Oryctolagus cuniculus: one gene and its partner. The main gene of each other region encodes a partner of the protein of the gene in region 2 in a complex. Links are inferred from orthologs where the notes say so. Each region holds a gene or a part of one and is shown on either strand. Other genes may lie near its edges.

The links. Proteins that work in one complex are often made in the same cells at the same time.
Region 1: the proteins of DNAJB1 (region 2) and NUDC are in contact, whole or in part, in a crystal structure (PDB 7NDX), measured with the Homo sapiens proteins. The link is inferred for Oryctolagus cuniculus from reciprocal best matches to the Homo sapiens genes DNAJB1 and NUDC. Residues at the interface, in NP_006136.1 of Homo sapiens: His166, Lys181, Lys182, Met183, Lys184, Ile185, Ser186, Asp201, Lys202, Ile203, Ile235, Phe237; in NP_006591.1 of Homo sapiens: Pro102, Gln103, Ile104, Lys105, Glu106, Leu107, Ala112, Leu115, Gln116, Ile119.

What each region holds. Positions count from the first base shown.
Region 1 is NC_091438.1:144,574,137-144,577,082, reverse strand, and holds part of NUDC (nuclear migration protein nudC), read left to right. Parts: intron 1-2,180; coding exon 2,181-2,384; intron 2,385-2,467; coding exon 2,468-2,533; intron 2,534-2,925; coding exon 2,926-2,946. UniProt on the Homo sapiens protein: Plays a role in neurogenesis and neuronal migration. Necessary for correct formation of mitotic spindles and chromosome separation during mitosis. Necessary for cytokinesis and cell proliferation.
Region 2 is NC_091447.1:63,136,945-63,141,148, forward strand, and holds DNAJB1 (dnaJ homolog subfamily B member 1), read right to left. Parts: upstream 2,883-4,204; 5' UTR 2,775-2,882; coding exon 2,564-2,774; intron 1,932-2,563; coding exon 1,351-1,931; intron 1,246-1,350; coding exon 1,015-1,245; 3' UTR 102-1,014; downstream 1-101. UniProt on the Homo sapiens protein: Interacts with HSP70 and can stimulate its ATPase activity. Stimulates the association between HSC70 and HIP. Negatively regulates heat shock-induced HSF1 transcriptional activity during the attenuation and recovery phase period of the heat shock response.

The DNA of each region.
Region 1 (2,946 bases), on a different chromosome or scaffold from region 2:
ACCCGAGTTCTCCTGGGGCACCTGAGAACTAGTCTGGAGTTTCTCAGGTGCCCTGGCGGGGGTGGGGGGGGTGGGGGGCAGGGACGTTCTAGGCAGATACCATATGCCAGGGTTGCTTTTTAGAAATAATAGTGGCACCCAAGTAAGAATAAACCAAGAAGTTAGATGTGAGAGTGACTGTCAGGTGTGCATGAGGGAATTGGCCAGGAGGGCTTGTTACAAATAAAAATTGCTGGACCACATTCTAGAATTTCTGGTGTTACTGAAGTAGGGCCTGAGAGAGTGCATTTCTGAGTGGTTCAGGTGATGCTGATACAGGGCTGAAGAATCACACTCCAGAGATACTGGTGTCACCATGGCCATAGCACTTCTGTTCCCGCAGCTGACAGGCCCAGCTGCAGCCAGTCCTAGCGTATTGGGAAGCCTACACTGTCTATGTGACTATGATGTGATATAAACCATACCAGGCTCTTTTTAAAATTTGTTTATTTGAAAGGCAGAGAGAGAGATCTCCCATCTGCTGGTTTATTCCCCAGATCCTATAGCATCCAGGCTTGCCCAGACAAAAGCCAGGAGCCAAGGGTTCCATCCAGGTCTCCCGCATGGGTAGCGGGGACCCAAATACTGGAGTCATCACCTGCTGCCTCCCAGGGTATGCGTTAACAGGAAGCTGAAATGGAGAGTTAGAGGCATGATTCAAACCCAGGCACTGTGGTATGGACTGCAGGCATCCCAGTGGCAGCTTACCTGCCGTGCCTGTGCCAGGCTCTTGGTGGGTGCTGTCAGAGTTCTTGTGGCAAATGAGGAAACTGAGGCTTCAGTAGAGTCCCAGCTCACTTACCCAAGGTCGCCGGGTCGGATTGTGTGTGGGGAGCCCTTGAGTGGAGGGGGCCAGCTGGCAGGGTACGGGGTAGAGGGCATAGTGGGAGAGAAAGGATTTGAAATTGACAGGCCAGCCTCTGCCCTCATGAAAGCGATGTGGCCTTCTGCGTGTGCTGAGGTGGGGTCTTGCAGGCAAAGACGCACCCAGGCAAGAGAGCATCAGAAGAGCGGGCTTTTTTTTTTTTTTTTTTTTTTTTAATTATTTGAAAGGCAGCGTTACAGAGAGAATGGCACAGAGATCCTCCATCTGCAGGTTCACTCCCCAGATAGCCACAATGGCTGGGGCTGGGCCATGCCAAAGCCAGGAGCCCAGAACTCCATCCAGGTCTCTCCTGTGGGTGGCAAGGGCCCAAGCACTTGAGGTGGAGCAGCCAGGCCTCGAACCCGGTGTTCATGTAGGTGGCAGCCTAACCCACTGTTACATGCCGGCCTTAAGGAACAGGTCCTTAAAAGACTGAAGACCCTCTTAGTTTTTTGAATTTTTAAAAAATTTTAAATATTTATTTATTTATTTGAGAGGAAAAGGTAGAGAGAGGTCTTCCATCTGCTGGTCCGCTCCCCAGATGGCTGCAATGGCTATAGCTGCACCCATCAGGAGCCAGGAGCTTCTTCTAGGTCTCCCACATGGGTGCAGGGGCCCAAGGACTTAGGCCATCTTCTGCTGTTTTCCCAGGCCATTAGCAGGGAGCTGGATTGGAAATGGAGCAGCTGGGACTCCAGCCAGTACCCGGAGCAGTTTTACCCACTACACCACCGTGCTGACCTCTATTATTTTATTTGAAAGGCAGAGTTAGAGAGAGAGACAAAGACGAAGAGGTCTTCCATCTACTGGTTTACTCCTCAAATGGCTGCAACGGCCAGGACTATGCCAGGCCAAAGCCAGGAGCCAGGAGTTTCTTCTGGATCTCCCATGTGGGTGTAGGGGCCTGAGCACTTGGGCCATCTTCTTCTGCTTTTCCAGGCATGTTAGCAGGGAGCTAGGTTGCAAGTGGAGCAGCCAGGTCTTGAACTGGGGCCAATATGGGATGCTATTGCTGCAGGCAGCAGCTTAACCCACTATACCACAACTCTGGCCACTGAACTTTACTTTTTTTAAAGTAGCCACTATGTATTGAGCTAGGTTCGTTGTAGGTATTCTCATTATGACTCTGAGGTGGGTGCATCACCCCATTGTGCAGATGGGGACCTGAGTTGCGAGTGCAGTGCTTTGCCGGGCGCCCCACAGCAGCAGATGCGGTGGCACCCAGGCCTGGGCCGCGGCCTGCTGTGGTGCCTCATTGTCTTCTCTTGTGCCCCAGCTCATCACACAGACCTTCAACCACCACAACCAGCTGGCACAGAAGGCCCGGCGGGAGAAGAGAGCGCGGCAGGAGACCGAGCGGCGGGAGAAGGCGGAGCGGGCAGCCAGGCTGGCCAAGGAGGCCAAGTCAGAGACCCCTGGGCCCCAGATCAAGGAACTGACGGATGAGGAGGCAGAGCGGCTGCAGCTGGAGATTGACCAGGTCAGGGGAGCCCCCCGCTCTCCCTCCCAGATCCCCACTGGCATTGGGGGCCTTGTTGCCCACTGCTGTGTCTTTTACCACAGAAAAAAGATGCAGAGAATCATGAGGCCCAGCTCAAGAATGGCAGCCTTGGCTCTCCGGGGAAGCAGGTGAGGTGCACTGGGATTAGCCAGGGGCCAGGGGCCGCTCTAGCCTGCCGCTTTCTCTGGTGCTCCCTCCCCGTCTTTGAGGATTCCTCTGAGACAGTGGCCAAAGGACTGGGCCAGCAAAGGCAAACTCCTCTGGTCTTAAGCTTGGACACTGCAGCCTGAGGTGGGCTGGCTCCGTGACGTAGCCACGAGCTTTGTTCTGTGGGGTGAGATAGCCTGGGCTCTTCTTGGCAGATATCAGGTCAGGTTTTACCTCTGGTTCCCAGGGATCCAGGGCTTGGGGATCTGCCTCTCTGTTGAGCGGGCAGGGAGCAGGTTCTGCTTTGCAGCCCAGGGTGGGGTGGGGTCAGTCTGTGCCAAGAAAGTAGCAAAGCACCCCTGACCGTGAGCAGGAGGCGGAGGAGGACGAGGAG
Region 2 (4,204 bases):
TCGCCCCTGCAGGCACCCTCCCCCCTCCCGCTGGAACCTCCCACCCCCCGCACCCCCCCACCCGGTGCCCAGAACCAAACACGAGCCGAGGGCCGCTCCCGGGAGGTTTCTCATACAGTCTTTAATGCCATCACCCTGCACAGCGACAAGTCACACACACTTTGGTCTCATGTCGGCAGTGGCAACGTACAATGAGTCTCAAGGGGCTGAGCACCAGACGGGTGTCCCGGGAATAGACCCCGCCTCCGCCCGGGGCCATGGGGGCAGGGCAGGGCCCGTCTGGGGGCACCCCGGCCTGACGGGGAGTTATAAAAACATTTACAGGCTCCTGCAATCGGGAGCAAAGACCCTTTTATCAAAAGGGATTATAGCTATGTCTCTATACATCTCTCCAGGGTTGTGCAAAATTCCGAAGGATCAGATCCCTTTGAGAGAGAAACAAAACGAAACGAAACAAAACAAAGTCCAGAGTCCATGGAACAGAAAGGGCACCCGGAGCTGCCCAGAGCTCGCTCTCGGCAAAGCACGGCTGGGCCCCGTCTCCGTGAGCTCCCGGGCTCCCGTGGTCCCGCTGGAAAGAGGAAGGTATTGCTTGTGGGCGCCGGCCGGGCAGTTCTGCAGAGTCTAGCTTTCTCCACCTGAGATGGCCAGGATGAGCCGGGGGGTGGGGGTGGGGGGAGGCATGGAGCAGGGGAGACAAAGCACAGGACCCAGCTGCAGGTGCGGGGGGGGGGAGGTGTCTGGAGGAGCGTGGGGCGGGGCGGGCCTCGTCCTGCTCTGCCCACCACCTGCCGCTCCGCCGCCCGAAAAACCAGCACAGTCGAGTGCACGACTTTCAAAGATTGTAATATATTCTCTGGAAAACATAGAGCAGGATCAGGCTCCCGGGCCCTCCCGCCCTCTCACGGTCCACGAGTGCCGGGGTAGCCGGAGACGCTGAGCTCTGGCGAGGTCCCTGGGGCCGGCGGCGCCCGGATGATGCGGGGGCGGTGGGTGGGTGGGTGTGTGGGGGCGCTAGATGGGCAGAACCTGCTCCAGGACGGTTCTCGACGTCTGGGGGATCCTTTCGGGGAAGACCACCTCAAATTCGATGATGAGGTCCCCGCGCTTCTCCGGCGTCTTGGGGAGGGGCAGGCCTTCGCCCGGCACCTTCCGCCGCATGCCGGGCCTGATGACGTCTTTGAAGACAACGGGGATGCTGCGGCCGTCCAGAGTCGGCACGTTCACCGTGCAGCCGCACAGGGCCTGGGCGGGGGTGGGGGGGGGTAGGACAGCGGTCAGCCGCGAGAGCCTGGGGAGCCCCGCCCGCCCCCAGCGCACCCCCACGGCTCCCCACCCCCGCGGCCTCACCTCCCGCAGGCTGACGCGGGCCGGGTAGATGACGTCCGAGCCGTCTCTCTTGAAGATGTTGTGTGGCTTGTCCTTGAGCACGAACACGATGTCGGCGGGGATGTTGCTGGAGGTCTGGTCCCCCTCCTTGGGGAAGGTGATCTTGGTGCCCTCTTTCCAGCCCCGCTTCACCTCGATCGTCAGGATCTTGTCTTCGTTCCGGATGCTCTTGCCGTCGGGGTTCAGCCGCTTGTGGGAGATCTTCATCTTCTTGGTGCAGCCGCTGTAGATCTCTTCCAGGGAGACCCTGAGGTCGTGCGTGACGGGCGGGTCTTGCTTCTTGCGGGTGGGCTCCTGGGCCGGGCGCGAGCGGCCGAAGTTCATGTTGGTGAAGCCGCCCACGCCCATGGGGAAGCCGGCGAACGGGTCGTCGATGTCCATGCCCTCTTCCCCGTTCCGCTGCCCAAAGAACGTGTCAAAGGGGTTCCGGCCTCCGAAGAACTCGGCAAACATGGCGTGCGGGTCGCCATGGAACGTGTAGCTGAAGGACGTCCCGTTGGCCCCGCCGCCGCTGCCCCCGCAGGGGCCGCCGCCCTTCAGGCCTGCGAAGCAAAAACGCAGGGACGTGAGGGGGCGGGGCGGGATTGCTCTCAGCCCGCCGAGGGCCGGACCCCAAGCTTGCACCTGCCGCTGCAGACACTGGGGGCCTCGGCCCGCAGGTGACAGCCACCAAGGCCCGGCCCCTGCCTGCTCCCGGCTGATCCTCCCAAGAATCCACCAAGAGACCCAGACATGACCCGGGGTGGGGGAGAGGGGGGAAGAGCGGCGGCCACGTCCCCTGAGCCCAGAGAGAACGTGGGCAAATGCAGGCCAACCAAAGACACCCCGGAAGCTTTCTGAAGCTCTCCCGTCCCAGCACCAATCGCCGCTGCCCTGATGATCGGAAAAAAAAAAAACACACTCTACTGGCTCAGGACCGAGCCCGGAAGCCGGTGAGTCACCGACGGGCAGCTGGGCAGGCCGAGACCCGGCCGCCCCCCGCCGCGCCCCCCGCCCCGGCCCGCACCGGGTGCAGACCCAGGGAGGGGCCGCCCGGACGTGCTGGAAGCTTCTGCGCGAGCGGCGAGCCGGGGCTCCTCCTCCGCCCGCCGGGGGCCCTCTCAGCAGCCCCCCACCCCCGGCCGGCGGCGCGCGTGCCTCGGTTTCCCCGCGCGCCGCGGCCGCGCGCACGCACCCTCCTCCCCGTAGCGGTCGAAGATCTCGCGCTTGCGCGGGTCGCTCAGCACGTCGTAGGCCTCGGCGATCTCCTTGAACCGCTCCTCGGCGCCGGGCTCCTTGTTCTTGTCCGGGTGGTACCGCAGCGCCTGGCGGCGGTAGGCCCGCTTCACCTCCTCGTCCGACGCGCCGCGGGCCAGGCCCAGCGTCTGGTAGTAATCCTTGCCCATGGCGCCCGCCCGCGGCCCCGCCGTACCCGGCTCCGCCGCCGCCGCCCGGCCCGACTCTATATACCCGTCCGGCGGAAGCTTCCAGAGCCCGCCAGCCCCCTCCAGAACCTTCCGCCCCGCCCCCCGCGCCGCGCCGGCCAATCGCCGCGGCCTCGGCCCCGTGACGCCCCCATCCGGGGCGGGGCCGGGCTGCCAACGGCCGCCCGCGTGCGGCCACGCCCCTTCCCTCTCAGACCCCCCCCCCCCGCCTCTCCCGGCAACGCCTCCCCGCGGCGAGGGCACTGGGCAGGCGGAGGGCCCGCCCACCCCCTCGGGGAGAACCAATCACGACTTCCCGCTCACTGTCTTCTAGGATCTGGCAGGCTGCGAGCCCTGTCCGTTGCCGGGTCCACAGGTTACCGCAGCGGAACGCGGAGCTCCGGGAAGGGGCGGGGCGAGACAAAGCCCCGCCCCTCGAGGTGGCCCCGCCCCTGTTCCCAGCAGATATAAACCTGGCCTCCCGTCTCGCAGGCTGGGTCGTGCAAAGTTCGGCAGGCTTGGTGCTGTTTAGCACAAGTGCAAGAGTGGCACGCCCTCCTCAGCCAGCGGGGAGGGGACAGTGCGAGCCACGTCCACTCCCCTGGAGAGGGTCCTGCCCTTCCTGCCCCTGGTGTCACCCTTGCCGCTGAACTTGCCGATAAACTTGAAATTCCCTTTTCCTTGGCTTCCCTCCCTCCCAGCCTGGGCTGGCGACCAGGACCAGAACCGGGTTCTGCCTGTTCCTAAACAGTCCCGGTATTTGGCTCCTCAACAGACCTGGTTTCTGGCTTTAAAAATTTTTTTTTATTGATTTCATTTTATTTGAAAAGCACAGAGAGAGAGAGAGAGAGAGAGAGAGAGAGAGAACTTTCATTCAATGGTTCACTCCTTAAATGCCTGCGATAGCCAAGGTTGGGCCAAGCCAAAGCCTGGAGCCAGGGACTCCATCCAGGTCTCCCACGTGGTTGGCAGGGACCCAAGCATCACCTGTTGTGTCCCAGGATGCTCATTAGCACGGAACTGGAAGGGCAGCAGAGGAACCACGAGTGAGCCCAGACGCTCCCATGTGGGATGCAGGAGCTCTGGTTGGCATCTTTTTTTTTTTTTTTTTTTTTAAGATTTATGTATCTGGGGGCCAGCGTTGTGGTGCAGCGGGTTGAAGCCCTGGCCTGTGGCACCAGCACCCCATATGGGCACCGGTTCTAGTCCTGAATGCTCCTCTTCTGATCCCTCTCTCTGCTATGGCCTGGGAAAGCAGTGGAAGATGGCCCAAGTCCTTGGGCTCCTGCACTCATGTGGGAGACCTGGAAGAAGCTCTTGGCTCCTGGCTTTGGATCAGTGCAGCTCTGGCCATTGCAGCCATTTGGGGAGTGAATCAGCAGATGGAATATCTCTCCATTTCTACCTCTCTG